Linked DNA regions of Mus musculus: all the other regions are reported to be linked to region 1. Evidence: microRNA targets listed by miRTarBase, many of them from high-throughput screens and not tested one by one. Region 1 holds a microRNA gene; each other region holds the end of a gene's coding sequence. Distances are between the middles of the regions.

Region 1 (3,084 bases):
ATGCAGGCACTTACGCACACAGGCACATACATAGGGGCCATCACATTATTCCAGGATGATCTCTAACTGCTCATGAAGTTAAGCATGAAATTGAACTCCTGATCCTCCTGACACTGACAATTGTTTACACCTGGTGAGTGAGAATATTCACTGTCCCTCTACTTTATAATCAGCAAAATTCTAAGACATAAATCATTCAAATGGATCAATGAGTGTCATTCTTATGTGTGTGAGTGTGCATGCCTGTGTGTGTGAATACATTTGTATGTGTGTGTATTTATATGTATGATCATATACACACATGTACGTGCACACACAATTATATGCACTTGTGCATACCTAGGATCCATCACACAAATACAGGGTGATCTCTAACTCATTATGAAGTTAAGCATGAATTTGAACTCCTGAGACTTTTAACTCTGGCAAGTGGTTTTCATCTGATAAGTGACATTATTCCCTATACCATGAATATACACTCAATGAAACTCTAAGCACGTATAAATCAAATGGATGACTGCCATGTGTGTTTGTGTGCACATGAATGTGTCCCTAGTTGTGTGGGTGTATATATATATATATATATATATATATATATATATATATATATATATATATATGCATGTTCATATACGCGCATGTACAGGCATACTTCCCTATACACATAAACACAAACACAGGGAAAATCACATGAATTCCGGGCTGATCTCTAACTCATCATAAAGTTAAACATGAATTTGAACTGCTCATCCTCATGATGCTGGCAAGAGTATTCACCTCCTAACTGAGTCATAGCACGGGCCATTCGTGGGAGTATGTTTGCATGTGAGTATATGCATATTCATATACAGAAGTGAATATGTACACAACTATACACACCTGCACATTCTTGGTGGGCATCACATGAATCGCATGCTGAACTCTAACTCATCATGAAGTTAAACATGAATTTGAACTCCTCATCCTCCTGACACTGGCAAGAGTGCTCACCTCCTAACTGAGACATAGCTCTGGCCATTCCTATGAATGTGTGTGCATGTGTGTATATGCATATTCATATAGAGAAGTGAATATGCACACAACTATACACACATGTACATTTTGGTGGGCATAATATGAATCCCATGCTGATCATGAACTCATCATGAAATTCAGCACGAACTTGAACTCCTGATCCACCTGACTCTGTCAAGGGATTTCACCTACTGAGTGAGACCTCTCCCCATTCAGTACTGAAAAATCTTAAAACTCTAAGTCACATGTCATTCAAATGGATCGATGAGTTGCACTGATGTTTTTGTGTGTGTTTCTGTTTGTGTCTGTGTACATGTACATATTTGTGTAGATAGGTACATCCATATACTCAAATCCACACACAATAGAAACAGATACAGATAGGGATACATAGGGGACATCACATGAATCCCAGGCATATCTCTAAGTCATCATGAAGTAAAGCATGAATTAGAACTCCTGATCCACAATCTTTCACACCTGATGAGTAAAACCATTCACTGTCCCACTACTTCATAATCTTGAAAACTTTGAGTCACATGTCATTCAAACGTATAAATGAATGCAATTTTTTCCTGTGTGTGTGTGCTTGCATAAACACGTGTGTTTATGTTATGTATATCATGTCAACACATACAATGCACATACAAGTAAGCACACATGCACATACATGGGTTGCATGACATTAATACCAAGATGATCTCCAAATGAAGTTAAGCATGAATTTGCAATCCTTATCCTCCTGACTTTGTCAATCTTTTACACCTGGTGAGTGAGTCCATTCAATGTCCCCTATTGCATAATCTCTAAAACTCTACATCACTTATCATTCAAAGGGATTGGCGAATGCCATTCCTGTGTCTGTGTATGTGTGCTTGCGTTTATACGTGTGTGTGTATGTTATGTATATTCAAATATAGACATGAACATGCACACACAACTATACACACATGCACATACATGGAGGAATCACAGGCTGATCTCTCATGAGGATAAGTGTAAATTTGAACTCCTGATACTCTTAACTCTAGCAAGCATTTTCACTCTAAGTCACTTATCATTCAAATGGATTGACGAGTGCCATTCCCCTGTGTCTGTGTGCTCATATGTGTCTTATGTGTGCGTGTATGTATATGTATATCATATTCACATATGTACATGCACACACACATCAACACATATACACATACGTAGGGGCAATCACATGAATGCCAGGATGACCTCTAACTCATCATGCCTTTACTATGAACTTGCACTCCTGATCTTCCCGACTCTACCAAGGGTTTTCCCGTGGTTTGTGAGACCTCACCCTGGCCCAGTCATACATAACCTCCAAAGCAGTAGGTCACATATCATTCAAATGGATCCGTGAAGGCCATTTCCGCATGTCTGTGTGCATGTGTGTGTAGGTGTGTGTATGTATATGCATAAAATATACACGCATATACATGCAGGCACTTACGCACACGGGCACATACATAGGGGCCATCACATTATTCCAGGATGATCTCTAACTGCTCATGAAGTTAAGCATGAAATTGAACTCCTGATCCTCCTGACACTGCCAATTATTTACACCTGGTGAGTGAGACCTTCACTGTCCCTCTACTTTATAATCAGCAAAATTCTAAGACATATATCATTCAAATGGATCAATGAGTGTCATTCTTATGTGTGTGAGTGTGCACGCCTGTGTGTGTGAATACATTTGTATGTGTGTGTATTTATATGTATGATCATATACACACATGTACGTGCACACACAATTATATGCACTTGTGCATACCTAGGATCCATCACACAAATACAGGGTGATCTCTAACTCATTATGAAGTTAAGCATGAATTTGAACTCCTGAGACTCCTAACTCTGGCAAGTGGTTTTCATCTGATAAGTGAGATTATTCCCTATACCATGAATATACACTCAATGAAATTATAAGCACGTATAAATCAAATGGATGACTGCCATGTGTGTATGTGTGCACATGTATGTGTCCCTAGTTGTGTGGGTGTGTATATATATATATATATATATATATATATATATATATATATATGCATGTTCATA
Region 2 (3,076 bases), not on the chromosome of region 1:
AGCCAGTGAGAGGGTGGGCACAGCCAGTGAGACAGTGGGCACTGCCAATGAGACGTGGGTGGCACAGCCAGTGAGACAGTGAGCACAGCCAGAGAGAGGGTGGACACAGCCAGTGAGACAGTGGGCACTACCAGTGAGACAGTGGATATAGCCAGTGAGACAGTGAGCACAGCCAGTGATACGGTGGGCACTGCCAGTGAGACGGTGGGCACAGCCAGTGAGACGGTGGACACTGCCTTGTCCCATATGCTTACGCTGCTTTCTTTTTCAGAGGAGATGACATTCTTAGCATCCTGACTGGCGTGAACTATGACGTGAGCAATAAAGACGACAGGAGGAACAAGGGAAAGCAGATGCCACAGCCCACCTTCACACTACGGAAGAAGCTCTTCTTCCCTCCCTAATGATGTGTGCTCTCCACAGTTCACATGGCTTATCTGTGCACTTTTGTGTGGATGAGTCTAATTTATTTTTTAGAATTTCTTTTGCTTTTGAATTTACATTTACATAATTTTCCCTTTTCTTCCCTTTAAACCCTTCTTTGTTATGTTCCAATTTCAAATACATGGCCTCTTTTCTCATTAACTGTTGTACACACACATACATACACACACACACACACACACACACATTTCTAAATATAACCTGTATACTATCACTTGTATGTATGTTTTGTTTTGCTTTTTTTAAAAAATGGAGCGACCTTTGGTAGGCCAATCACACTCCAAGGCAGGTCCCTCTCCCAAGAATAGTTGGGCAATACAAATTGGCTTCCATGGGTTCACCTTTAATCTCAGCACTCTGGAGACAGAGGCAGGAGGATCTCTGAGTTCAAAGCCAACCTGCTCTACATAGCAAGTTCTGAGATAGCCAGGGCTACACAGAGAAAGCTTGTCTTGAAAAAAACAAAAAAGAAAACTTGAAGATGCATGAGTAAGAAAGCAAGACTGGAGCATGAATCTGGTTAACAGAATGGGTGAATGACGGGAGCAGGGACCTGGGGCAAGTTAACAGAGGGGGTGAATGACGGGAGCAGGGACCTGGGGCAAGTTAACTGCTGAAGGTGAGTCAGCAGAATGGGGTGAATATCATCAGCATTCTCTGCATGAAATTCTCAGAGGTAATAATAATATTAAACTTTTTTCTGTGCAGTATATAATTCTTCCAGGTTAGTTTTTCATTAGTCTCTGGGTTTTTTCATGATCAACTGGAAGTCCTTCAGAGTGAGAGCTATTAGGGAGCATGAGGGATAATGGAAAGAAAACGGTCTCTTTGTTTGTGGCGAGAGTTGGTGGGAATTAACTATAAAAACACTTCTGTGGCTAAGTGCGGTTAAGAATTAGCCTTGACCAGGATGAGGAGATAGCTCACTGGTTAAAGAACTTGCCAAGCAAACTCGAGGGCCTGAGTTCAGCTCCCAGGAACCAATGTAAATGGCGATGGGCGATGGGCATGTTGTCCCTCCTATAATTGCTACACTGGGAGGGTGGGGATAAGATTCCTGGTGCAAGCTGTGTAGCCAGACCAGTGGTATCAGAGGACAGCTATAGGTTCAATCGAGAGCCCCTGCCTCCCTGATTATTGTGGAGATTGATTGAGGAAGACTGCATGCATGTGCCTGCCAAAGCATGTGTGTGCTCACACATGTACTTATGCATGTGTGAGCATGCATGCCAGCTCTCCTTACATGTCTAAACATGAGCAAAAGTTAAACTCGCCAATGTTAACATTTCTGTTATATCTTCAATGAATGGGGGGCTGGTGAGGTGGCTCATCGGGTAAGGGAGCTTGCTGCACAGACTGGTAACAAGGTTTGATCCCTGGGACCAAAATGAGAAAAGGAAAGAATTGGCTCCCATAAGTTTTCCTCTGACCTCCAAAGCACACTCTCTCCATACATGCAACGCATGACTGGATAAGTAGATGTAGATAAATTTAAGGAAAATGAGGCCAGTTGTGGTGGACCACACTGAGCACTTGGGATGTAGAGGCAGGAGGGTCTGGAGTGTAAGGTCATCTTCACCTATATAACCAGTTTGAGGCCTTGACCATGGTTTTTTTTTTTTTCCTTAAAAAAAGGAGTAAAAACTATTTTTTGTTAGTTTTTAGATAAATTACAGGTTTTTACTTAATGTACTTATAGTTAATGGTCCATCAGGAAATTCTGTTTTTGTTTATTTTCTAGAAGTATTTATAAAAGTTTTATTTATGTTTTGTAGGATAATAGCATTAAAACAAAACTTATTTTCTAAAAACGTATTTTATTGAGAAAAATTTCATAAATATACAAAAACTAAACGCAATGGCAGCATGGTGAAGCCACGTGCTTACAGCCTCCAACATCAACAGCTGTGCTGTGCTCTGTCCTCCCTGACTGTATCCTCACCTGCCTGCCTTGTCACCTCGCTCGGGGGCACTGACTTGGGTCCACTGAGGTGGAATATTCTTGCATATGAATAGTTTAGAGACCCAAGTGTCTCTAAGGATGAGGTACGTTTTAGATAGCCAAAGCATTTTTAAACATTAAATACCAGTCAGTGTTGGTATTCAAAAATCTCCCAATCTTCTTGCATTCTTACAGTCTGTTTGAATCAGGATCTAGGAAGATCTCTATCTTGAATTTTGTTTGTTTTTCAAATTCCATATTAATATATAGGTTTTTTATGCTTTCATATAGCTTTTTAAAAGAAACTGAGTTGTTTCATGCACTGCTCTTCAGTGTATATTTTATTGAATCTGTACCTATAAACTTTTATATTCCCCTGTTCCCTCCTAAGTAAACTGTCAGTGAGACAAAAGCTGGGTTTTTTTTTTTAAAGAAAAATAGATTTACCTTACTGTTTCTAAGGGATTCTTTTGTTTGTTTTTTATTGTTTCTGTTCGTTTGTTTTACAATTGGCATGTTCACACGTGGGGAACATTCAGTGTCTAGTATTGGCTTACAACATTGCTTAACATTACTCGCCAAAACTTAAAAGCACTTCCACATAAAAACCAGAATTTTTTTAATCATAATGACCCCATGCACCCAAGTGGCAGGCAGTCCAATGAGTCTAAGAAGTGCCATGGTCAGAAA
Region 3 (3,075 bases), not on the chromosome of region 1:
GCAACCCTATAGGAAGAACAACAATATCAACCAACCAGACCCCCCCCCCCCAGATCTCCCAGGGACTAAGCCATCAACAAAGGAGTCCACATGGTTCCAGCTGCATATGTAGCAGAGGTTGGCCTTGTCATGAATCAATGGGAGGAGAGGTCCTTGGTCTTATGAAGGCTCAATAGATGCCCCAGTATAGGGGAAATGAGAGCAGGGAGGTGGAGTGGGTGGGTGGATGGAGGAACACCCTCATAGAAGCAGTGGGAGAGAGGATGTGATAGATTGTTTCTGGGAGAGAGGGAAACCAGGAAAGGGGATAACATTTGAAATGTAAATAAAGAAAATATCCAATAAAAAATAATTTAAAAAACCTACTAGAAAACTTGGAAGAAATGCCTTTTTAATTGGTATAAACATTATGTTATTACATTTAGAAAGCAATAATTCCAGTGTTTCTAGAAAGACTTGGCATCTCTAAAAATAGTTATATGAACTTCATAAAAAGAGATATATTTTCTGCTTTCAGATCTTATGAGTTGTTATGATTAGTACAGCCAAGTTTGAACACAAGGAACTATAATAAAACATTCTTTTACTATTAAAATAATTCTCCCAAAGTCTATATTAAAGCTTTACAGATTTCAGGGAAGGTGTAGTCTGTGAAACTGTGCCAAAGGTACACACAGTTGTGAGTGATATGTTGCTGTGAAACCCTCTTGGATGAAAATAATAAACTTTGGATATGAGAACACTTAATTTATTGGATGTCAGTGCCTCCTGCCTGTTTGTCTTCCTAAGCTCTTGGATTGAGACCTAACTGTGATGATCCTACTCTGTTCTTTGAAGCTCAGCTCCTGTAAACAGAGAGAAGGGATTAGTGTAGTGAATATTTGGCTTTGAGTTAATTGAATGTCTAATTTCCAGTGGTGTTGAACTTGGCTGGATACCCGTGTGGTTATAATATGCAAAGCCTCTGAAAACACATGGGTTCTCAAATAATGGCATGCTTTTTCCCCTGATTTTTTCCCCAAATGGTATTTTTGTTCTTTCCCTTACTGTCTACTTCAAATAAATTTTATACAGTTTTATAATTCCTTCAACATATGGCTACTGCCTCCCAGCTCCTCGTGTGCATTGGCAAGCAGCCACGTGCACCACTGAAGAGTGATTTCCTGGATGAGTTTTCAAGAATCCTCCTTTATCCACATTTCTACCTGTGTTCAACTTCTTAACATAGAGTTAGATTAGACCGTCCTCTCTTTATGCACCTTCTGTCTCCCTCCTTCCCACCTCTCCCTGTTCTGTTAGTACAGTTTTCTTTGAGCCTAGGCAGAGCATTTTATGCTGCCAGTGTTATTAGAGGTTTTTGCGAACAATGAGAGTATAAAACTTGTTTGGGTAATCCCAAGTGCTTCTTGCTTTTGACATCTATGGAGTCCTTGCCTGTTATTTTTGAATTATGAGTAGGAGGCCCCCCCCCCCTTTTAAAAATTTTGTACTTCTGCCTGTTCAAAAATTCTTAGAGCAGAAAATGTGTTAGCTTTGTAAGCCTTGTTACTCCTATTGAGAGCTCGTATGTATTTCCGTTTTGGAAAAATACATTTTACTTAACATTAATTGAGATGTGGGCCAGGCACACACATTGACGCAAAGGAGGAAATTTGGAAGGAATAGATGCTTTGAGATAAAGACAATGTCAGAGACAACAAAAAGTGTTTTCTTGAGATATCAGTAGTCAAAGAGGCTGAGACCTCTAAGCTGAGGATACTCAACCTCTCAAATCTTACTTAGGTGCTTTCTCTATTTCCAACCACCTTCTCACAGGTAGCCAGGAGGCGGCTGCCTCAACCCAGGAGGTGATGCTGGGAAGTTGGGAGGAAGTTGGCTGAGAAGATCAGAAGCACCTGTTTGTGTTTTTTCCCCTTTCTGTTAAAAGCCTCTTGTGGTCCTCTTTGTGTCCAGGCATTGTAGCACATGTGCTATTTCTGATCCATAGAGCTTTAATCTACTGTAGTCCAGAGTGTAAGTAAGATAGAAAAATTTTTACAAGCATATCTTGCAATAGAGAAAAATCTGTTAGGAGCAAAATATACTTGTGTGATGACTTTATATGCACGTATGAAAATACATGTGTATGTGTATACATAAATGTATTTATGTGTATTGTGTATACACATAAGTACACTGTATATTATGCTATTTAAATGGAACCTGGATATCCATTATAGATCTTATTGGGTTATTTGTGGAAATAAATGTAATATTTCAGTGTATTTATTTGTTATAGTGGGAGTCCTTAAATACAAAATCTTACTGCTAACAAACTGGATTAAGGCACCAATGTAATGGGAAAGTAATGTATATTTGCTATTGATGTGTTTGGCTGCCAAATCACAGAGAATTTCCATATTAGTTATAAATTGCAAACAGCAGCAAAGACTGGAAGTGTTCTGTACAACTTTAAAAATGTCTTGACTCTAACTCTTCCTAGTCCTAGAAGTTTCTTTCACAGACTTTCTTCTGTGAGGAAGATGCAGTCAGGTGAGCAGCCAGAAGAATCAACAAGGCTTAGTCTACTCCATTCAGACAAGCATCGGGCTCTCTGGGGAGTCCAGTGGAAGGGCCTACGGGGATGTCTGTGACTTCTGGTGGGGGCTGCTCCCTAGACTCACAGCCGGGCACCACAGCAGAATCTCCCTCACTCTCTGGAGATGGTGAAATATCATATTTTGCCTCTACTACAGATAGGGAGCCCTGGGCTGGGGACAGTGGGGCCTGACCAGAAGTGTTTGCCTCTGGTTTATGGGGCTTCGGACCCGGGGTATTTTCTGCAGGGAGACCCTGACTTTGTAGCTCTGCCTCTGCAGGGGTACAGGAGGCTGTAGGGGCAGGTGTGGCCTCACAGACGCCCTCCGCCACAGCCTGAGCACCTACAGGGGGCCGAGGACTCCCTGAATCAGCGGGAAGGCTGGGATGGTTTAAACGGGCTGTTTCGGGGTGCTGGTGGGTGACATCACTTCCACTTTGAGGACCATTCACTGCCAGCTGTCTTTCCGTTGGTTGGTCTGGGGTGAACTCTGGATG
Region 4 (3,071 bases), not on the chromosome of region 1:
ATTTATTCATTGATTTCCATGTATTTAGGTATTTTAGGTAGTTAGTAGTATGATACCTTATGACTTTTCAGACATCCTTACTGTTTCTTTAAAGATGCTTTTAACAGACTATCTGTACAAGCAAAATAGGCTACCTACCAAGTAAGACTTCTGTGGCTTTGTACCATCAATACTCATTAGCAGCCATCATAGGGAATAAAATTCATCTTTACAAAGGCAGAGAAATAATTATTAAACTGTGCTTAGAGGACTACCCAGGGAGAAGAAAAATGTAATAATTTATCCAACAAGAGCAGCTGACAGCCAACCGGGCCTTATTACTTGCCACGTAATTCACCCTGTGGTCTGTCCTTCTACCTCTAGGCTGGGAATTACCTGGAGTTCACTTGCTTAGCCAGAAGCGGCAGGAACTTCAGCAGCAGCAGGGAATGAATAAAAAGCCATGGCCCTGCTTCTTCTGCAGCTAGACTGACGGATGCACTTTCTAACTTCTAGTACCAAATTTTCTCTGATGGGTTATTGTAGCTCTTTGTATTCTATATTAACTGTATCCCCTCAAAACTGTTTGCACAAGAGGGTCTGCATGTAGCTTCTGGGGACCTGCCCCCAGTTAACTGTGATTGGTAATTAAAGATGCCAGCAGCTAATAGTTGGGGAGACAAGAAAGAGGATTGGGGTTTCCAGGGCTTGGGACCTGGAGGAGGAGGAAGAGCAGAGCAGCACTGCCTGAGAGTGAGGGCCAGAGAGGCAGAGCTACCGTGTAAAGGTCAGGGGCAGCCAAGATGGAACATAGGAACTAGTAAGTAGTAACTTGGAATTATCGGTGGGAGGTAGAGTCTAACACCATGGAGGGTAGGCAGTTGACCAGCTATTGTGCTCCTTAAAGCATATTAAAATATAAAGGTTGTGTGTGTGTCTTTCATTTGGGAACAAAAACCATTGAGGTGGGAAACAACCTTGTGTAGGGATATATTAAAAATAATACTCCTACAGGTTACATTATATAAAAAGAGTTCAATAACATTTATATATATATATATATAAAATTTATATATATATACATATATATATATATAAATTTACTGCTTTATTTTAAATACTTTATTTGACAAGAATCAAGAGTTTCTGGAAGTCCTTTTCTTCCTCTCCTAAGGAGAGCTGACCTCCATTTCCCAGAGAGGAGAGCAGCAGGACTTCGTGCTTTGGAGTGTGGGACACCCTTTACTGGAATTTGCGGATATGATGTCGCAGGGAGTTCTATAATCTTTCTGACAGCTAGACACAGGATCACCTATGGGGTCTTCACAGCATCCCGGCCAGGCATGTTCCTCATACTGGTAGAAACAGCTCCTCCATACCCAAGGGCACAAAGGAAAAATTATTTAACAGTGGAACAGACCAGTACAGTAAAAGCCCAGACAACACAGAGGAGTCCAGGAACATAGCTGGAGGCAAAGAATGCAGGCTTGCACAGTTTCCAGGGGCATCTACAGAGCACCTTTCTACTCTGTGTGCTTTCTACTCCCAAGAGATTAGCAGACACAGAAATCCTAAACACACAGCCGTTTCCCTGGTCGGGGCGTGATCGATTGATCGATTGCCCACATGTGGACTCCTGGCTTATATGCCATTTGAGAGTGTTCAAGTTTTGTGAGAGACAGGTTATGATTCATTTGGAAATCCACGGAAGCACTCAATGAAAACCCACCATTTTCTTAAAAAACAAAAAACCCTCCACCCTGCCTTTTAAATAACCAGTAGAGGCTGATGCAGGGCAGAGTCCAGCCCTGGTGTGCTGTGCATGTCCCTTGTTGCACACTGACGACACTGTGAGAGACTCTCCCCTCTTAAGTCATTTACAAAGTGCTTAGCGTGTCACTTGCTCGCCACCCTCAGTCTGTAAAGTTTCCTCGTTGGCTGGGCATGATTTTGAAGTTATTGCTGATGCTAGAATCTCACAAAGAAAAACAGTCCCCAAATGCATCCAAGTGGGGGAAAAAAATCGCATGACGCAAGCGTCAAAGGGAGCTTCCCTGCCACAGCCAGCCCTCTGATGAGAAATGCTCCGCTAATTCTGCCCTTTATTAGTGAATGAGCACAGACTAAAGGCACAAGCTGCACCAGCAACCAATGAGCTGGGAACCAGCCAATGAGCTGATGGGAAGCTGGGAGCTCTGTACACATCAACCTGCACCAGAAGATTCCTGGTGGGGGAGAAGCAAGTGACAGGGATGCTTGCTAGGAAGATGACATCTCGGGGAAGGTCTGGCTAACCCTAGTTAAAGTGCGAGCAGTTTCACACACCTGCTCTTAGGTCCCGAGGAAGGGTAGCAGCATGAGGCACCAGTCCTACAAGGTGGATCTGAGCTGTGCAGCCAGAGGCGTGGTGCTGAGCTCAGCCCCAGTCCCGAACAAGTCAGCAATGACTCCCTCAACGCAGCAAGTTCTCCCTTTTGGAATCTCTCCTCCACCGCCTCTCCCATCTGGAAAGCGTCAGTGTGGGCTGAATACATCTCTGGTGCTGAAGCTGAGGCACTAAGGATGATGGGGCTCTGCTTCTGGGCAGGAATGCGGGCTCTTCACTTGATCATCTGGGTCTCCTCATCTGCATCATAGAACTCTTCCTCCTCCTCACTCTCACTGCTGACCTTGTCCAGGGGCTGCAATGGCAAAGGAGATCTTGTAGAAGTGATCATGACAGGCCTTAATGAGAATTACCACCCAGGCACTCACAGTGCAATTTTGCTGTTGTTTTGAGACAGGGACCCATGCAGACCAAGTTAGCTTCCAATTTTCTAAGTAGCTGAGATCACCTTCTGATCTTCCTGTCTCTACCTCTCTAGTGCTAGGTTTACAGGGGTGTACCACCACACTCAGGTTTAGATGGTTCTGGGGATCAAACCCAAGGGCACCTAGATGGTTACAGCATGTGTCTCTATACCTGTGGAGGATCCAAGGTCTGTAGAGATAGCGCTTCCTCTCCTAACCTCCTATATGAGTACATTTGAAGATCAGAAAATGTCTCCAGCAAAGGGCTGTTCAGAGTCTCTGGCAATAGCAGGCTCAGGAGG
Region 5 (3,084 bases), not on the chromosome of region 1:
CCAGGGCAGTAGTGACATGGATAAGATAGCTAGGTGGGGGAGAGGCATCAGCAGGGTAAAGGGAAGTGAAGGGTAGTGAGAAGAGGGCTAGTTAAAGTCAGCTCTGCCTGTTGAATTTGGAAGTGGAGGGGAGGCAGGCTGCCAGTGATGTCAGATGCTACTGTCTGTGCTTCCCCTTAGGAAACCAAATCACAGAGGTGGGGCTGGAAGGCTTCCTCACTGCTGTGCAATACCAGGTTCAGGTCTCCAAGCCCAAGACTTCACCCAAGGCCCCCCTGGGTCTGCTGTGGCTGTCCTTGGCGGTAGGTCTCCTTGCCCCAGTTCTTTGTTTGTTTCCTGCAATTAGCAGTGCTGGGATTGCCCCCCCCCCCCCCCCCCCCCGTTCAACAGCCCTAAAACTGTCCCGGGCATTGTTCTTTCCTGGAGACAAATCTTTATCCTGGCAACTTTTTTTTTTTCTTTCAGAAAAACTGCTTTGACCCACAGTGTCCAACACACGTCATGATTCAAGAACTGATGTTGCCAAGGGACCCTGTGAAGGCCAAGGCCAGGGAGGAGGAGGCTGCAGCTACCTAGGTCTCCTACAGGCAGCCTGTCTCCCTGGGAGGTAGCTTGGACCAGTAACATAGTCTCTTGCTGTGCTGTTCCTTGAAAATCACTCCATACCTGTTTGGAACGTTTAGGTTCTTAAGTCTGTTCATATTCCCTGGCTAGACAGGGCCGAATGTTGGCCTGAATCACACCATGGTTCCATTGGGGGATGAGCTGAGCTCCTGGCTAGGGCCATTGCTCTGAGAGTCCCAGCAGCATCCTCCGGGCCATCTCTGTCAGCATGCACAGCACTAGGATGATGGGGGTTGGTTAGCACAATGACGGAGGGAGCGGGCTTGGAACCCAGCCTTCTCTGATGCTATCTCCATGTGTTTGTCTGGTTTTCCAGAGGCCAGGGCTCTGCTTTAAAAGATGAGGGCACTCTGGAGAGGGTACTGTATCCAATTTGCATAACAAAGGCCAAACCTTAGACACACGTACACACGGCAGGCAGGTCAGCAACTAGAAATCATGGACATCCAGAGCAGGGCTGCCTCTGCTGAGGGTTCTGGAGAGCCCATGCCAACCTCCAGGGAATCTCCAACCAAGGTAACTCTCCCTCATCTCTAGCCCCTCCTCTACCTTCCAGAGCTCCAGCCCCGGCTGGCAAGTGGCTCTGGGGATCTCTCCGGCTGCTCTGAGTCTCAGTCACTGTGTTAAGGTGCACCATGGCTTTTCCAGTTATGTCCCAGGTCCTCTAAGGCATGGCTCAGCTGCCATGGCTCTTCCTGGTCTGTGGGAAGGAGGGCAGTGTGGTAACCCTCTTCATGGTTTGCATCTGAGAGTAGGTCACAGCAGCCCTGTTCCTTCGTGTGACGTAACCACAATGTCCTTTTCTGGGCCAGAGCCAGTTGTCCAACCTCTGCTGAGAAGGTCTACACACCGGCACTTTGGGACAGGTGGAAAGACCTGGTGCAGGATGGCTGTGGCAGGGGCTTTCTTGTCTCCCTCTACCCATTTTTGACCGGTCACACCGGCAGCCTCACACCCTCTATCAGGCTAAGAATCATACAACCACAATGGAAGAATATTTAACTTTTCTTTAAAAAAATCTTAACCATGAAAGGAAGAAAATAAGAGTATACATTATTTTAACAGTAAAACAGTCATTTCCATATCTATATTTTATATATTATATATATTTATATATATGTATATATACACCTAGCACAGTGTGTATGTTCATTGTAGGGAGTGGCGTGAGGACAGGGTGATGAGCCAACGGTGCTGTGGCCCCTGGGGAAGGAAGGGCCCTGACTTAACTCAGGGACTCCAGCAATCCACTCCACATCTCTCTTGAGAGTCTGTGTTGAGATCCGTACCTGGTGTATTGTTTCTATGGGGCAAGTGGGGAAGGGCTGGGTAAGACACTCCCTGCAGGAGCATTTCCTGACACTGAGAAGGCCTAGGCTTCAGAGGTGGGCAGGCCCTGGAGCTTGACAGCACTGGAATCTGGGAGACCTCCCTGCCAGTGGGACATAAACAATCATGGCCCTGTGCGGGGCTGCTGCCTGGCTCTCTGTGACTGGTTGAACATGCCAGGGACAGAATAAAAGGCTAAGTTATTTACAATGGCAAAGATACACATACAATAGACATATTTATAGGAAACTAAAGGGCAAAGAGGAGAGCCAGGCATCTAGCTGTCTCGGGGCCTAGGAAGAAGAGGAGGAAGAAAGTGCATTTATACATAAGCCTCCTCAAGGGCACTGTGCACATAGCACACCCCACACTGGCTATGTGGGGTGGAGGCCTTTCTATTGTGGTCAGCATGCTTAGGAGACGAAAGCCACGGAGACTTGGGCTAACAGGAGGAAGAGACACTAAACTGGACTGTCTGGTGGGAACAGACCAGGCAACATGAGGGATTCCCAGGCCTCACAGTATCTTTCACGGGGAGGCTCGGATCTCCTAATGTGGCGCTCTGGCTCAGGCCAGACTCTGGTTGTCTGGATGGCTATGGTCCTGGTGACGAAGCTGTGTCTGTGGCACTGTCTTCCAGGGGGGTGTCGGAGCCTGTGGGAAGATGGTGAGGGTGAGACGCTGGCTACATTTGAGAGGTTCTCTTTCATGTCCCTGGCTGATTCTTGAGTGCCAGCTGTGACAAAGCTTATATGTAATAGAGTGTGTGGAAGCTAGACAACTTGTTGGAGTCGGTTCTCTCCTTCCATGTGAATCCTGGGGCTCGAACTCAGATGGTCAGGCTTGGTGAGCCATCTTGTCAGTCCAAGCCTTGTTTCCTGTGGGACTGCATTTCTTTCCAGGCGCCAAAACCAAGACAGGTTAGGCGTTTTAGCTTTCTGAATTCGGTCCTTGCCCTTATAACCCAGGTCTGAGCCACTAAGAACCTGCTGCAGAGGTAAGGCGGCTTTCCTGGTACATTACTTCCTCAAACCAACATAAATAGAAGGTTCTGGGGGCTGAGAGATGGCTCAGTGGTTAAGAATACTTTCTACTCTCCCAGAGCGCCCAGGTTCAATTCCCATCACCCAC
Region 6 (3,084 bases), not on the chromosome of region 1:
CCTGTGGCAATTCAGCCTGACCTGACCCAAGGTCAGGGACACTGGTGCTGTGGGAGTCGAGACTGAGAGCTTTGGAATGGTTGCAACTGTGCCTGTGCCTTTCTTCGGGTTCTCTTTGATCTGAGCAACAGGAGAAGTCTTAGAAGACCTAAGACATCATAGAAGACCTAATCTTTAGATGGAGTGCTGGTCTGAGAGTCCAGGACACACACAGCACATGACTGGGTGGGTGATGTCCTGGGGAGTTGACACTTAGACCCCGACACACAGGTGCACGCGGGCTCCCTCACTGCCATGACCTAGGCCTGTTTTGTTTGTTTTTGCTTCTAGAGATACCACACAGCAGAGACTGCTGTTGCACAGAGTTACAGAAACAGGTAGGTGCAGCTCCTACATGAAGCCACACGCTGCCTCACATTGAGAGAGAAATCATACTGTCTCCTTTGCATCCACAGATTGAGAAACACGAACAGATTCTCCTCTTCCTCTTAAACAATCCAACCAACCAAAGTAAATTCACAGAGATGAAAAAGCTGCTGAGAAGCTAAGTAAGTTTCCCGTTTCCCCTTCTGTGATGCACCCGACTCCAGGTGCTTATGTGAAGCCGTTTCTTACTGTTTGATTTGAAATTGCTCACATCGTCAGTATGTGAAGAGACTTGTAAAGATGGTCATGAGGTGAAGCTTAGCCTCACACTGTGTCCAGACTTGACGTCTTCTCAGGCCTCACTGACTCTGTCTGCTGCAGTAGCTTTAGTCCTGAGTCTGGGCAAGGATAGAAGATCGAGGAAGGTAGGCACTCTGTCACCTGTGACACTGGAGCAGGCTGTGCTGTGCCACTGTTCAGAGAGAGTGTGCTGGGCCCATCCCAGTAGTTCCCAACCGTGTCTTACTGTCAGGATCCCCGCAAGAACAGGGGCCATCAGAAAGTAGTCATGGCCAGCAGCCAACTGGAACTTGTGGACAAAATGAGATTACCCCACTTATTCACCCCTGTGTGTGTGCTGGAGGGGTGGGGTTGGTGCAGTGTCAGCCCAGAGCTGGCTCTTCCATGCTCCTGCAGCAGCTCCTGGGATTCCCTGGGCTGTCGCTCCTCTGGAACAGCAGTGCTGACTGAGTGCGCACCTCTGCTGAGTTTGTCCCTAAGGAAGCTAGCACCTAAGCTGACACCCTGAGCAACAGTTCCTTCCCATTGTCGTGCCTTAGCATCTCTATACTTGATTTCTGTTTTGTGTGCTTGAGCTTAAGATCTTGAATTTAATGAAGATTTTAACTAGACCGACTGAAGAGCCTGCAATGACACAGGCTTCTGGGATTAGCCCAGCTAATTAATCATTTGTACTTTGGTCTATTCATCTGTGTAGTGAACTCTCCTCAGAGAGATACTGAGAGTGCTCATATAATTTAAGATAAGGCTGCCATTTTCAATTGTTTCTAGAAAATTAGAAAGCCTAGAACGGTAAATGTTTGAATTTAAAACATAACACACGCTAGTTTCCCCCACACAGCACTGTGTACGGGGCTGGGCCTCACATTGCACAGTCCTCACAGCATCCTTGAAGCAGAAGTGCAGGGCAAGGTGTGTGCTGTCACAATCCCAGCACTGGGAAGTGGAGACTGTGGCTCAGCAACTGCTGGCCTAACTTGCTCGTCAGTTCCAGGCCATTGAGAGACTCATGTTGCATAGTAAAACGGGAGGTGGGAACAATCTGAGGAAGAATGGCACACACCTGTGGGCAGAGCTGAGTGCACCTTGCTCCCTATCCATATACTACACACATTTGTAGCTCCCTGCCCCCACCCCCACATGTAGTAGAATGACCTTATTGTCTGATGAGGAAGCAGAGGCTCACGGTGTCCATGCAGGCTCTTGGTGTGCACCCCACACCTCACCCCCTCTTGCAGGCTGGAGCTTACAGCTGACAGGGGAGGAGCTGTCCCAGCTTCTGGGTATGCCCTGGGCTACAGCCTCTTTCTCGGTTAGTCTGGACCTGCAGGGCATGGAATGAGGAGATAACATAGGTACTCAGGCATTCTCTTCTCATTTGGGAGGAAAATAAAACTGGATATTTATTCTCACCTTACTTAATCTACTTCCAGATATATGTGTTCCAAATGTTAAGGCTTTTATAACTACTGTGTTGTGTGGTTTTCGTTAGTAGTTATCAGCCAGGTATTAGTCAGCCTGCAGTGCTGTCTTGGGGATTTGAGGCGTGTGAGATGTGGAGTTAAGATAGCTTGGTCTAATAAGACCCTGTCTAAAACCATATGTACATAACAAAGGTGTTGCTGCATTATAAATTTTGTAAATAGAGGTGCTAACATTGTTCTTAAAGGGATGACTAGATAAGTTAAAATGAAACTTGTTTTTATATTTGGAAAGAGCTACAATAGCTGCATTTTATATTTGTAGAGAATATAATTCACTCTGATTAATGCCAGTATCGATAAAAATTAAGCACTGTTATGATGCTGTTTAATTTTTCTCTGCCACGTATAATCTGAATGTGTGTAATTTAGTTTATCTGGCTTGCCTGTACTTAGAACTGAAGTTAAGGGCCATAGTGATTCTGTGTAAACCATAATGATGGCTGGTTTTTCTCTTTCAGAAACATCATCTCTTGGAAATAAACACTGGGAAGAAAGAGACAGCAAACGCCAGACCTGAGAAAGAATTGTGTGTGTGTTTTGTTCACTAGAATTGCTGCTTCCTCCTCTTTCCTTAGTGACTTTTAGCCTCTCCGCTGTGCTTGCTTACTTTGTTCTGTCGGGTTTGCTGCCCTCTCCCCGATTCTTTCCACGAAATACATGAATCTTACAGAAGAGATTCATGTATGAGCTAGGCGCGGTGGTGCACACCTGTAATCCCAGCCATGAGCAGCATGAGGCAAGACCTCAGGCTCAAAGCCAGCAAGGGCCTAGTTAGATGCTTTCTCATCACAAACAAAACCAAAAGGACATCAAGATTCAAAATGTATGAGACGACTAGGAAAGACTATGAGGTACCTTCTGCTAAGAGTGTGTGTGTGTGTGTGTGTGTGTGTGTGTGTATGTGTGTGTGTGTGTGTATGTATTTGCTCTACTG
Region 7 (3,084 bases), 150 Mb from region 1:
TCCTCCTCCTTATTTGTGATCCAGTGCTTCTGTTGTAAGAGTTACAGCTACATTATGTTTAAGCGACTTCTGGTATCCATGAATTTTACTAATTTACATTGTTACCTCTTACATCACAGTCTTTCACTGCCCCATATGAACTCGATTATTTTGTTAAGTTGGGAAAAAAACCCAACTCATTGTTTGCTATAACATTTTTTATCACCATTCCAAAAACATACAGGAGAACAGTAACCCTTTTTATGAAACTCTGTGCATTCCAAACTCAACAGGAACATCTTACATTTCTTCTTGTGTACATCCAAACTATTATTTTTTTGAAATTTAAAATTTCAAGTCAACCCAACACATCATAGATATTTCAGTATGGGTCTCTAAGATATGATCATTTAGGTTGAGTGTGGTGATGCACTCCTACATTCCCAGCACCCAGGGTGTGCAGCTAGCAGGATCCAAGTTCCAGGTTAGCCTGGACTACATCGCAAAACCCTCTATCAACTCTGAAAGAAAGGGGAGAACTGAATTTGTCATTGTCACACCTAATCATCTGCCTCTGTGTTTGCTTTTTGTTGTTGTTGTTGTTTTTGAGACAGGGTTTCTCTGTGTTGCCCCGGCTGTCCTGGAACTCACTCTGTAGACCAGGCTGGCCTCGAACTCAGAAATCCGCCTGTCTCTGCCTCCTGAGTGCTGGGGTTAAAGGTGTGCACCACCATGCCCGGCTGTGTTTGCTTTCTATTTTCCTTATTGTTCTAAAAATGACTTTGTGGGGCTGGAGTGATGGTTCAGCAGTTAAGAGCTCATACTGCCCTTGCAGAGGACTCTAGTTTGCCATCCTCCATGCTGGGTGGTTTATAACCTCTTTAACTCCAGACCAAGAAGATCTGATACCCTCTTCTATCCTTTCTGGGTATCTGCACTTACAGGCACACACCTCTACACAGACACATAGACATGCACATGATTAAAGATACATTTTTTAAATGAGTTCAAGCAGTTTTCAGAACCAAGTCCATACACTGACACTCCCTGCATGGTTGCAACATCCTTAGATTCCTTTATTCCAGAATAAACATTTTAGCTCATTTCTGCCTGCCTCCCATTCTCCCCTTCTGTAATTTCTGCTTGAGCAAACAGATGAATGTCTACTTAGTGTGGCTAGAAGCCCTTCCTTGTGGTATCTTTCAGCTTCCTGCATCACTTGAGGAGGAGTCTATACCTGGCTTACCCATTTTTTTTTTATTTTTATTTTTTTTTATTTTTTTGAGACAGGGTTTCTCTGTATAGCTCTGGCTATCCTGGAATTCACTCTGTAGACCAGGCTGGCATCAAACTCAGAAATCCACCTGCCTCTGCCTCCCTCCCAGTTTACCCATTTTTAATGTTGTTCAGACAAACTGCAGTATTTCAGCCAGAACACCTCAATCCTCTCATCGTAAAGCCATGTTTCTCCACACAAGGACACGTTGTATAGCATGGGATGATGAAATGACACCCTGTAAACAGCAGGAAGCTGTGGATGGCCGGTGCCTGTGGCGACAGCTTAATTGAGATTGCAAATTCTAGAGGGTTTAGATTGTAGTTATATATGAACGATGTTGATCAGGATGGACATCCTTGCCTTGTGAACACTTGGTGTTTGCAGAAAAGCAGGCATATATATGCATTGTATTCTATATGCAATATGTAAGAAATTACACACACACACACACATGCGTGCACACACACGCACATATTTTATATATTCTCTAGTACTTTAATACACAAACAAAATGTATTTAGATCATCTCTCTCATTTCTCCCTCCAAGTCCCCCTGATTCCTCTCCACACTTCCCTCTCAATCCCAATTCCTCTCTCTCTTAAAAATAACCCACTGAATCTAATTAGTGTGCCCATACACCCGTGGGTGTGCAGTACCATCCACTGGGGCACTGGCACCCCACCACGGGCCACACCACTGAGGAACGATGACTCTGCCCCCTCTAGTGGCCGTCAACAGACATGGCTCCTCTACTAAGGGTGACTAGACTGATCTGTGCAGGTCTTGTGCTGGCTACAACAGTTGCTGTGAATTTATGAGTACAGCGGCCCTGTCATGCACAGAAGACATTATCTGTGCCAATCTTCCAGGCTTTTCCTAGATGTTCTCTGAGCTTGGTGGTGGTGGTGGTTGCTGTGTGATACAGGTGTCTCACTTAGGGATAAATAATTCACAACTCCAGAGTCACTTTGTTTTACCTTTGGCCAGCTGTAAAGGCATATCTTTTTTTAAAAAAATCGTATTATGGACAATTTTATCCTATTTATTCAGATTTGTAAAAAATGTCATATAATAAAGTTTAATAGTTTTTCCAAAAAAATGTATATTTCCAGAATTATTCATGCATGTATATGTACATACATATACATACACACACAAACACACAAACAAACATACACACACACACACACACATACACACACACATAATATTGAACAAGGATTTTTTTTTAAACTATTAAGTTGTATTAGTCTATTTGGACCACTGTAACAAATTACCATAGACTGAATGGCCTATAAACAACATTTATTTCTCAGAGTTCTGGAGGTTGGGGAGTCCAAGATCAAGGTGCCCAGAGATCCAGTATCTGGAAAGGCCTGGTTTCTGGTCTTTGTATCTTCTTGCTGTGTCCTTCCACGGTGGAAGCAGTCCTCTGAGGCCATTTTTATGAGATATCACACCTTACTCTGAGGGATCTGTCTACAAAAGAGGAGGAGAACCCGCTGAAGAGGGATGCTCACACTGGGGACAGGCTGGATGGATAGGCTGTTCCTTCTTTTGCACACAAGGACTCGGAGACCAGGTTGCCCACGGGCTGCCCGTTTCTCCCATACTTTAAGCCTGTGGACCCCCGGGGCAGGTGCTAGGTGACAGCAAGTTTAGAGGAGGAAAGGACAGAGTGGGACTTGTGTGAGCAGTCCTGGGAGGAGGGAAAGCCCAGGGGCTTTCACCTGATTCTGCTTGGTTGACATCCCTGTCACGCCTTCCCCTTTGTACAAAGGAGACGGTCAAGGCCTCTGGTCTCTGAGATCCCATAAGCTCACCC

Evidence for each region. Region 1 holds the annotated microRNA mmu-miR-466e-3p (UAUACAUACACGCACACAUAAGA, at 2,126-2,148, opposite strand). A microRNA usually pairs through its seed, bases 2 to 8, with sites in the 3' UTR of a target mRNA and lowers its output. Matches are read on the target gene's strand: a 7mer-m8 pairs with bases 2 to 8, a 7mer-A1 pairs with bases 2 to 7 and ends in A, and an 8mer does both.
Region 2: the mRNA of Casp8 is a reported target of mmu-miR-466e-3p. Seed matches in the 3' UTR shown: 7mer-m8 at 663-669.
Region 3: the mRNA of Txlnb is a reported target of mmu-miR-466e-3p. Seed matches in the 3' UTR shown: 8mer at 2,131-2,138.
Region 4: the mRNA of Slc22a15 is a reported target of mmu-miR-466e-3p. Seed matches in the 3' UTR shown: 8mer at 1,057-1,064.
Region 5: the mRNA of Lrrc71 is a reported target of mmu-miR-466e-3p. Seed matches in the 3' UTR shown: 8mer at 1,741-1,748.
Region 6: miRTarBase lists Tdrd1 as a target of mmu-miR-466e-3p. Seed matches in the 3' UTR shown: 7mer-m8 at 3,067-3,073.
Region 7: miRTarBase lists Wfdc12 as a target of mmu-miR-466e-3p. Seed matches in the 3' UTR shown: 8mer at 2,401-2,408 and 7mer-m8 at 2,396-2,402.

What each region holds. Positions count from the first base shown.
Region 1 is chr2:10,490,453-10,493,536 of GRCm38, reverse strand. Gm25285 (predicted gene, 25285) reads right to left here and starts at 2,201; the gene lies at 2,112-2,201. All of the region lies in intron 10 of Sfmbt2 (Scm-like with four mbt domains 2), which reads right to left. It overlaps Mir467a-6 (microRNA 467a-6), which reads right to left and starts at 2,489; the gene lies at 2,407-2,489. Mir669a-8 (microRNA 669a-8) reads right to left here and starts at 1,971; the gene lies at 1,885-1,971. It also overlaps Mir467a-7.
Region 2 is chr1:58,846,351-58,849,426 of GRCm38, forward strand. Casp8 (caspase 8) reads left to right here. Exons shown (of 9, transcript NM_009812.2): 9 at 272-1,153. The coding sequence ends at 404. Among named protein-coding and RNA genes, the nearest start is that of Gm28802, 49 kb to the right of the region's middle.
Region 3 is chr10:17,842,965-17,846,039 of GRCm38, reverse strand. It overlaps Txlnb (taxilin beta), which reads right to left. Exons shown (of 10, transcript NM_138628.3): 10 at 377-3,075. The coding sequence ends at 2,560. Among named protein-coding and RNA genes, the nearest start is that of Gm20655, 8.9 kb to the right of the region's middle.
Region 4 is chr3:101,857,860-101,860,930 of GRCm38, forward strand. Slc22a15 (solute carrier family 22 (organic anion/cation transporter), member 15) reads right to left here. Exons shown (of 12, transcript NM_001039371.2): 11 at 2,942-3,071; 12 at 1-2,660. The coding sequence ends at 2,580. Among named protein-coding and RNA genes, the nearest start is that of Mab21l3, 23 kb to the left of the region's middle.
Region 5 is chr3:87,736,567-87,739,650 of GRCm38, reverse strand. It overlaps Lrrc71 (leucine rich repeat containing 71), which reads left to right. Exons shown (of 15, transcript NM_028971.1): 14 at 181-302; 15 at 466-2,728. The coding sequence ends at 576. Arhgef11 (Rho guanine nucleotide exchange factor (GEF) 11) reads right to left here. Exons shown (of 40, transcript NM_001003912.2): 40 at 1,612-2,607. The coding sequence ends at 2,549. Among named protein-coding and RNA genes, the nearest start is that of Lrrc71, 11 kb to the left of the region's middle.
Region 6 is chr19:56,866,095-56,869,178 of GRCm38, forward strand. Tdrd1 (tudor domain containing 1) reads left to right here. Exons shown (of 26, transcript NM_001002238.2): 24 at 331-377; 25 at 456-548; 26 at 2,609-3,084. The coding sequence ends at 548. Among named protein-coding and RNA genes, the nearest start is that of Vwa2, 6.8 kb to the right of the region's middle.
Region 7 is chr2:164,186,946-164,190,029 of GRCm38, forward strand. It overlaps Wfdc12 (WAP four-disulfide core domain 12), which reads right to left. Exons shown (of 3, transcript NM_138684.2): 3 at 2,286-2,738. The coding sequence ends at 2,714. All of the region lies in intron 2 of A730032A03Rik (a long non-coding RNA gene), which reads left to right. Among named protein-coding and RNA genes, the nearest start is that of Wfdc12, 2.1 kb to the right of the region's middle.